Linked DNA regions of Saccharomyces cerevisiae S288C. Each later gene encodes a partner of the first gene's protein in a complex. Each region holds a gene or a part of one and is shown on either strand. Other genes may lie near its edges. The genes, in order: RAT1 and RAI1. A codon is read from its position in the direction of its gene.

Evidence for each region.
Region 2: the proteins of RAT1 (region 1) and RAI1 are in contact, whole or in part, in a cryo-EM structure (PDB 9FMS), measured with the Saccharomyces cerevisiae proteins. Residues at the interface, in NP_014691.1 of Saccharomyces cerevisiae: Arg216 (codon at 2,554), Ala217 (codon at 2,557), Asp218 (codon at 2,560), Pro219 (codon at 2,563), Glu220 (codon at 2,566), Thr313 (codon at 2,845), Phe314 (codon at 2,848), Asp315 (codon at 2,851), Arg318 (codon at 2,860), Cys368 (codon at 3,010), Asp369 (codon at 3,013), Phe805 (codon at 4,321), Pro854 (codon at 4,468), Ser855 (codon at 4,471), Lys858 (codon at 4,480), Ser859 (codon at 4,483), Ile860 (codon at 4,486), Ile861 (codon at 4,489), Leu862 (codon at 4,492), Asn863 (codon at 4,495), Ile911 (codon at 4,639), Thr912 (codon at 4,642), Gln913 (codon at 4,645), Tyr914 (codon at 4,648), Lys915 (codon at 4,651), Arg917 (codon at 4,657), Thr918 (codon at 4,660), Gly919 (codon at 4,663), Gly920 (codon at 4,666), Tyr921 (codon at 4,669); in NP_011268.1 of Saccharomyces cerevisiae: Tyr46 (codon at 1,681), Tyr47 (codon at 1,684), Leu48 (codon at 1,687), Pro49 (codon at 1,690), Asp50 (codon at 1,693), Leu53 (codon at 1,702), Asp54 (codon at 1,705), Arg55 (codon at 1,708), Leu181 (codon at 2,086), Gln182 (codon at 2,089), Tyr183 (codon at 2,092), Thr184 (codon at 2,095), Arg186 (codon at 2,101), Ile189 (codon at 2,110), Glu190 (codon at 2,113), Phe226 (codon at 2,221), Asp227 (codon at 2,224), Phe228 (codon at 2,227), Gln247 (codon at 2,284), Val248 (codon at 2,287), Ala249 (codon at 2,290), Asn250 (codon at 2,293), Ile251 (codon at 2,296), Thr254 (codon at 2,305), Phe257 (codon at 2,314), Glu258 (codon at 2,317), Phe280 (codon at 2,383), Lys288 (codon at 2,407), Thr289 (codon at 2,410), Val290 (codon at 2,413).

What each region holds. Positions count from the first base shown.
Region 1 is NC_001147.6:417,940-423,558, reverse strand, and holds RAT1 (ssRNA exonuclease RAT1), read left to right. Parts: upstream 1-1,908; coding exon 1,909-4,929; downstream 4,930-5,619. Other genes in the region: phospholipid-translocating ATPase RSB1, read left to right, coding at 1-891. UniProt on the Saccharomyces cerevisiae protein: Possesses 5'->3' exoribonuclease activity. Required for the processing of nuclear mRNA, rRNA and small nucleolar RNA (snoRNA) precursors.
Region 2 is NC_001139.9:36,802-40,325, reverse strand, and holds RAI1 (decapping nuclease), read left to right. Parts: upstream 1-1,545; coding exon 1,546-2,709; downstream 2,710-3,524. Other genes in the region: glutamate--tRNA ligase GUS1, read right to left, coding at 1-1,303; BRR6 (Brr6p), read right to left, coding at 2,800-3,393. UniProt on the Saccharomyces cerevisiae protein: Decapping enzyme for NAD-capped RNAs: specifically hydrolyzes the nicotinamide adenine dinucleotide (NAD) cap from a subset of RNAs by removing the entire NAD moiety from the 5'-end of an NAD-capped RNA.

The DNA.
Region 1 (5,619 bases):
GCCGATATGGACGCTTTTCTTTTGAACATGATTTGTTTGACTATTGCACCAGTTTTCACAATGGGTGGTATTTATTATCAACTTGCAAAGCTTATAGAAGTATACGGCCACAGGTTCTCTTTATTGCCCTCTCCAATGGCGTATTCTTTTATTTTCATATGTTCCGATATCGTATCGCTTGTGGTGCAAGCTGTAGGCGGTGGCCTGTGTGGTGTGGCGGTCACAGATGGAACGTCCACAACAACCGGCAATCATGTTTTCATTGCTGGTTTGGCCATTCAAGTTGCATCGATGGCCATCTTTCTTATGTTATGGTTTCACTTCCTTTTCCGTATATATATATCGGTAAGATGGGAACACATAAATTCTAGACCTATCTCATTGAGCCTCTTAAAGATATCGCAAACAGAAGTTGATTATTTATACAGGGAAAAGTTCCATTTTTTGAGACTCGAACCTAAACGTTGGGTTTTTCATTATTTTAATCTGGCAATAACCGTTGCGGTACTAACCATTTTTACCCGTTGTTGTTACCGTTTGGCTGAATTAGTTGTCGGTTGGGATGGCTATCTGATCACACACGAGTGGTATTTTATTATCTTAGATGCATTAATGATGGCCATCGCTACGGTCACTTTGACCATCTTCCACCCTGGATTTGCGTTTAAAGGTAGAAGCACCTCGATTCCAATCACACCGGGCCATGTTGATCCTGAAACTTTACCACATACTGACGATGTTGAAGATATCTTAGATACTTCGGATTCAAAACAATTTGATATTGAAAAGGAGGAATTCCAAGCAAGCATGAAATACCCGATTAGCACCTTCAAACAATTCATGTCCAAAATAGCTAACTTGTTTTCCTCTAAAAAGAAGGCTAAACTTTAGTGATACGTAGAATTTGAATGTCAATCTGATCGTTCATATGCATTTTTCAATTCTTACTTTTTTTCTCGAAGTTCCCGACTATGTTCTGTTTATTTTTTCTCCTATTCAAAAGAACCGGACAGCATTTTTACTTCCTTATATTTCGACATCGTAATATGTACATTTTTTAGTTCACAAGTATTTTTCCCCTTTCAATGCTTTAATCAGCCTTCAACGTCATACATACTTTCTATTTTGTTCCTGTGCCATCGTATAACTTTCCTCGTTTAGTGTTTTCGCCTCAGCTTAATGTAGATCACTGTTTTGACGTTCTTCCATTTTTGGGAACGAACTAAACTAAAAAAAAGAAAACTACAGAGTTTCCCATAGAGAACAGAAAATCCGCTATCGGCAGCTTATAGGGTCATATAATTATGGCGCACATAAGGAAAATAAATTTATTTGAATCAATCAACAGACCTATCTGTTGATATATGAAAGAGAGCAGGAGCGTTAGTTTACCTCCATAAACAGTAAAATTAAAGCAAAAAAGCGTAACTGCTGATTGAAGCCTATATCACCGGGCTAAAATCTTATATCGGTTAAGAAAGTGATTAATTTATAGATATGTTCACGAAATCTTTTCTATTCAAAGATTCACGAATTTTACTCGATTTTTATAGTATACTGAAACAAGTAGTTGTAAAATCAATTCACCAAAAAAGCTTTCCCCATCTCTGATGAAAAACTACGAAAAGTTTACTATCACATAATATCGGAAGTACGTTTTTAAGGCACTGCAATGTATTTTATAATCTTGAACATTTGGAGGTATATTACCTTACTTTCTCATCAGGTTGTATATTTGAGCGTCTCGGGAATGATAAGTCGGGTAACGAGAGTATCTAGATAAGATTTTCAGCTATGGCAATAAAAAACCAAACCTCATCGATGAACCTATTACAACATAAAGACATCCCGTAATAATTAGTGAGACAGGTTCTTCAAGGAAGTGCTACAGCCAAGTTTCGTAATATAATGGGTGTTCCGTCATTTTTCAGATGGCTATCTCGAAAATATCCAAAGATCATATCCCCAGTATTGGAAGAGCAACCTCAGATAGTCGACGGTGTCATATTGCCGTTGGATTATTCCGCCTCAAATCCAAACGGTGAGTTAGACAACTTGTATTTGGATATGAATGGTATTGTTCATCCATGTTCGCACCCAGAAAACAAACCGCCTCCAGAGACTGAAGATGAAATGCTTTTGGCAGTTTTTGAATATACCAATCGTGTGTTAAATATGGCTAGACCACGCAAGGTACTTGTTATGGCTGTTGATGGTGTTGCTCCTCGTGCCAAAATGAACCAGCAGAGAGCGCGTAGATTTAGGAGTGCTAGGGATGCTCAGATTGAAAACGAAGCCAGGGAAGAAATTATGAGACAGCGAGAAGAAGTTGGTGAGATAATCGATGATGCCGTCAGGAACAAGAAAACTTGGGATTCAAATGCGATCACTCCAGGCACCCCATTTATGGATAAGCTTGCCGCGGCCCTCCGTTATTGGACAGCATTTAAACTGGCCACTGACCCTGGTTGGAAAAACCTGCAGGTGATTATCAGTGACGCCACCGTCCCAGGTGAAGGTGAGCACAAAATAATGAATTTCATTAGGTCTCAAAGAGCTGATCCTGAATATAATCCCAACACAACGCACTGTATATACGGTTTGGATGCTGATTTAATTTTTTTGGGCCTTGCCACTCATGAACCACATTTTAAAATTCTAAGAGAAGATGTTTTTGCTCAAGACAATCGGAAAAGAAATAACTTAAAAGATACTATAAATATGACTGAAGAAGAAAAACAATTTCTCCAAAAACAAAATTCCGAACAACCTTTCTTGTGGCTGCACATAAATGTTTTGAGGGAATACTTGTCCGCTGAGTTATGGGTTCCGGGTCTTCCATTTACATTTGATTTAGAAAGGGCTATCGACGATTGGGTTTTCATGTGCTTTTTCTGTGGTAATGACTTTTTACCACATTTACCATGCTTAGATGTCAGAGAAAATAGTATTGATATTCTCTTGGATATTTGGAAGGTAGTACTACCGAAATTGAAAACGTACATGACCTGCGACGGTGTCTTGAACCTCCCTTCTGTTGAAACGCTATTGCAACACCTTGGCTCCCGTGAGGGGGATATCTTCAAAACTAGACATATTCAAGAAGCCAGAAAGAAAGAAGCTTTTGAAAGAAGGAAAGCGCAGAAAAATATGTCAAAAGGTCAAGACAGGCATCCTACAGTAGCTACGGAGCAACTGCAAATGTATGACACACAAGGAAATTTAGCAAAAGGTTCATGGAACTTGACCACCAGTGATATGGTAAGGTTGAAAAAGGAACTGATGCTTGCGAACGAGGGGAACGAAGAAGCAATCGCCAAAGTTAAGCAACAGAGTGATAAGAACAATGAACTGATGAAAGATATCAGCAAGGAAGAAATTGATGATGCTGTTAGTAAGGCTAACAAAACTAATTTTAACCTTGCAGAAGTTATGAAACAGAAAATAATAAATAAGAAACACCGTCTTGAAAAGGATAATGAAGAGGAAGAAATTGCTAAGGATAGCAAAAAAGTTAAGACAGAGAAAGCGGAATCAGAGTGCGATCTCGATGCAGAGATCAAAGATGAGATTGTGGCTGACGTAAACGACAGGGAAAACTCTGAAACTACAGAAGTATCAAGAGATTCACCAGTCCACAGCACAGTGAATGTCAGCGAAGGTCCCAAAAATGGGGTCTTTGATACAGATGAATTTGTCAAACTATTCGAACCTGGTTACCACGAAAGATATTACACAGCTAAATTTCACGTTACTCCTCAAGATATTGAACAGTTAAGAAAAGATATGGTAAAATGCTATATCGAAGGGGTCGCCTGGGTACTAATGTATTACTATCAAGGTTGTGCCTCTTGGAATTGGTTCTATCCGTACCATTATGCTCCTCTGGCAACAGATTTCCATGGGTTTTCTCACTTGGAGATAAAGTTCGAAGAAGGTACTCCATTTTTACCTTACGAACAATTGATGAGTGTTTTACCAGCTGCATCTGGCCATGCTTTGCCAAAAATTTTCCGGTCTTTGATGTCTGAACCTGACTCTGAAATCATTGATTTTTATCCTGAAGAATTTCCCATAGATATGAATGGTAAGAAGATGTCCTGGCAAGGCATAGCGTTGCTACCATTCATCGATCAGGATAGACTGTTAACAGCTGTTCGTGCACAATATCCTTTACTTTCTGATGCTGAGAGGGCAAGAAATATTCGCGGAGAACCTGTTTTATTAATAAGTAACAAGAATGCTAATTATGAGAGGTTTTCGAAGAAATTATACTCAAAGGAAAACAACAACAACAATGTTGTTGTGAAGTTTCAACACTTCAAGAGTGGTTTAAGTGGTATTGTATCAAAGGACGTTGAAGGTTTCGAATTAAATGGGAAAATTGTATGTCCGATTCAAGGTGGGTCACTGCCAAATTTATCTACCACCTTGATTTTAAAGATGTCCTATAGATTAATTCCGTTGCCATCGAGAAATAAGTCTATTATACTGAACGGGTTCATTCCGTCAGAACCGGTACTAACAGCATATGACCTTGATTCCATAATGTACAAGTATAATAACCAAAATTACTCCCGTCGCTGGAACTTTGGTAATGATTTGAAGCAAAATATTGTTCCAGTAGGACCAAAGGGTATTACTCAGTACAAACCAAGAACTGGTGGCTATCGAGCATTCTTTTATTTTGCTGAGCTCAGTAGAAATAATGTCCAACCCGCCCACAACTATGGTAGGAATAGCTACAACAGTCAACCCGGCTTCAACAATAGCAGGTATGATGGTGGAAACAATAATTACAGACAAAATTCAAATTACAGGAACAATAACTATTCCGGAAATAGAAATAGTGGACAGTACAGCGGCAACAGCTACTCTCGGAATAACAAGCAAAGTCGGTATGACAATTCAAGAGCAAATAGGCGTTAGAACTACTCGTGCGCATTTTATTTTATGGTAAATTTAGGTTTTCGCAAATTTATAAAATCTTCATACAATTAAAAAAAAGCTCTTTTAAGATAATAGTGTCTGCTCTTACAAACGACGAACAGTAATATTTTATAACAAAAAATGGAACATATTAAGTTAAGAGAAAATCATGCTGAAGCATGAATATATGAATATACGTCCTCTTGTAAAATAGCGAAATCCTTGTAAGCCAATAGACCGAACTCTATTTTGATTTATACGCTTCGTGTATTTTTTCTTCCAGATCCAGGAGAAAAAGCATGGTCTGTTCTTCTTTTTTGAAAAGAGAGGCAGTCCACGGCGAAAGTTTCGAATACGGCACTACCTTTTTTTTCTAAGTTCCTAAACTTAAAATCAAATTTGGTCTTTGGTCTGTTATCATCCAGGGATGAATGCAACATATTGGGAAGTTCATGCTATACAACGCCAACCCCTTCGCTCAAGTCACGAAAGCACATCTTACACTTCCTCCTTGGCCAATATGCAAGCGTCCTCTTCAAAAAATCTTGCAACAAACAATCGGGTAATGTGGGATGTTGTGGAAAAATGAAATAAAGTTTTCAATAAATCCGACTGAGCTAAGCAGGAAAATTTTCGTACGCGGGTTTTTGTCCAATTTTTTCCCTTCCTTTTGAAAACACGGAAAATCTT
Region 2 (3,524 bases), on another chromosome or scaffold:
TAACGAAATTGATACGAGCGAAATCCCAAATATGGACTTTTCTCAAACGCAAAGCTTGTAACATCCAATCATATTGAGCGTTACGGTCTCTATATTCAATGGTACGTAAAGCGTGGGTAACACCTTCAATAGCATCAACAATTGGGACACAGAAATCATAAGTTGGGTAGATCTTCCAAGTTGATCCGGTTCTGTGGTGAGGGGTTAGATTACATCTGTAAATGACAGGATCTCTTAGAGTCTTGTTCAAAGCCTTGTAATCGATCTTGGCACGAACACAGTTCTTCAAACCTTCTTCAGTACCGTTTTTCATTTCTTCGGTAAAAATTCTTAAGTTCTCTTCAACAGAACGATCTCTTCTGGCAGAAGCAACACCATCCATACGTTCTTCTCTCATCTTTTCAGTTGGAGTGTCGTCACAGTAAGCTTTACCATCCTTGATCATTTGAACACAGTAGTCGTACATTTCTTGGAAGTAGTCAGATGAGTAGGTTATTCTATCACCCTTGATTCCTAATAAATCCAAATCTTCCAAAATAGAGTCTTGGAATTCTTCCTTTTCCTTCGATGGGTTGGTGTCATCGAATCTAATAATCAACTTACCCTTGTAAGCTTGAGCAAAATATTGGTTCAACAAGGCAGCTTTGGCATGTCCAATATGTAAGTATCCAGAAGGTTCAGGTGGGAAACGAGTGACGACTTCACCCATTTTGGCATCTGGCAAATCAATTTCAAAGTTAGCCTTGTGAGTTTCCTTCTTCTTACCCACATTAGCACTTTTCTTTAATTCTAGTAAAGATTTGCTCAAGAAATCGTGAGCTTCGCCGAAGATGGGATCCATTTCTAACAAAGTGTACCAACGAGAAACGTTAACATCAACCTTGTTCTTGATGATGGAACCGCACATACCATTGGATCTTAAAGCACCCCAACATGCTACATCAGCGGCAGAATACTTCAAGCCGCCAAGAATAAAGGTTCTTAGGTTCAATTGAGAATCTAGTGTTTCCAATGATTGTGATAATTTAGCAAAGTTCTTGATAACTAATTCCTTTTGGGCCAGATTAACCCATTTAGCAACTTGCTCTTTATCACCATTATCGAAGATGGCGGCGAATTTGCTAGTTATCTTGTTGAAGACATCTTCAGTAGCATCATCGAGCTTGGCAGCAGGTGCTTTCTTATCGTCCACCAACTTAATAGCTATGGAGTTAGGAGCTAACGCATTCACAATACGAGCAGCAATTAGTTCAGCATAAGCCACAATTGGGGCTTTTCCATTAATAGTCAAGGTAGATGGCATCTTGATCCCTTCTATGCTTTCCTTAACCTTTGAAAATAGTTTCGTCATTCTTATGGAAGTTATCTTCCATTTTTTTCACTTTATCTTGCTTTTAACGAAGAAGAAAAAAAGAGTAAGCATTCGGGTAAATTGAAAAATTTACTTCGAGAATATTAGGAACAGATGAGGTCTGGTAATGTTACTAATACTTCTGTAATATGGTGAAAGAATAGCGAAATATTAGACCAACATAGTGTATCCCAATGGGTGTTAGTGCAAATTTGTTCGTAAAGCAAAGAGGGTCGACAACAGCTCTGAAGCAGCCAAAGGAAATAGGATTCTATTCAAGAACTAAGGATGAAGAATATTTAATTAGCGATGATACGAATTTGAATTACTACTATCTTCCAGACGCTGAATTGGACAGGAAGTTGGATCTTTCATCAGGATTTCAGAAATTTAAGGATTATTACAAAGATTTTGAAGACAGGTGTTCCCTGCGTGGGCTATTAGAAACCATAGAAAGCTCTGAAAGACATAAAGGAAAAAAAATTAATGCTGATATAATTACTTTTAGAGGAATAGCACGGAAATTAATTTCATGTGCATTTGACTCTCCATCTTTTAATACAGTTGATCTTCGTATCGTTTCATTCAACGGCCAACTTTTTATCAAGGAAGTGCCTGAAGCTGTCAATGCAGCTAAGGCTTCCTCTGCAACTGAAGCAGGGCGTAATATAAATCAAGATCTGAATGTATTTACAGGGTACAAGTTTGAAACTTTGGCTACTCTTTCCAATCCGTTGCAGTATACACCCCGTGAAGTGATAGAAAAAAGAACTAAAAGGATTGTATCGCATGGAGATGAATACATTAGTGTTGTGAGAACTGGTGTAGGTAACTGCAAGTTAATTCTTGGTGCTGAGGTGGATTGTATATTTGACTTTAAAGAAAACGGTAGAGACAATTTAAAACATTATGCCGAATTGAAATGTACGCAGCAAGTTGCGAACATATCGGATACGCATAAGTTTGAGCGTAAACTGTTCCGGACCTGGCTGCAATGCTTCTTAGTTGGGATCCCAAGGATCATATATGGTTTTAAAGACGACCATTATGTATTAAAAACTGTGGAAGAGTTTTCAACGGAGGAAGTACCTGTTTTATTAAAGAACAATAATCCACAAGTTGGAAGTGCATGTTTAGAAGCCATTAAATGGTATGGTCTCCTTACTGAGTGGCTTTTGAAAATGATACCAAGAGATGAGGATCCTCATTCTCAAATAAGAGCATTTAAGTTGGTTTTCGAAAATAATCACCTAAGATTATCCGAAATTGAAGAAAGTGATGAGGAATATTCAGGTTTGATTGATGGAGAACATATATTATCGAACGGGTTTAAGGAGTGGAGAAAATCTTTGAAATAACAATATTCCTTTATGTCTTTCCTGCGCATATCCTCATCGACGTATGGATCTAAATAATATAAATGTGCAGATTAGATTAAGTTATATACACTATGCATGGCGAACCGATTTTGTATCTTTATTATTGAGATAAACCCTGTATGATCCGAAACTCGTATTGGTAACAAATATTATACCTATTATGCTAATTAAAATGAAAAGGAAAGATCGTATACTGAACGCTTCAAAAAAAGCATTTATTACCTCCGCCAGAGTACGAGCCCATGCTTTAGCCCATTGGTAATCGGAGCCAGACACTATTTCCTTGTTCATACATTTTGACCATTCATTGCAACGTACCTCCAATGCTGGAACCCTCATATGAGGTTCGCACTGGTTTTCAAAATACCTTGATTTGCAAGTTGCAATTTTATCTAATTCTTCCCTCACGTTATGCTCCAGTTTTAAGTTAACATCGTTTCTTATCATCAAAATGAATTTAATAGCAAGAGACAGTCCTATAGTTCCTATAATAAAATTGAAAAAAAGCTGTATATACTCCGCAATTAAACTTGGGCTCAACCAAATGCTTTGTCGGGCTAATCTAGCATCTTGCGGATGTTCACCTTCCAATACTTCCTCCCTTCCCAATCTTGGGTTAGCAAGTATGCCATCAGGCTGTCTAGAAAAACTACGGAGTTCCATTCCGGGACTTATGTTGGGATAGGGGATTCAAAGATGAGTCTACATAAGTTAACTCATCAATAATAATGGAAAGAAGTTTCATTAGTTACTACTAGTATTTTGCTTGCTCCCGGGTAATGAATTTTTCCGCT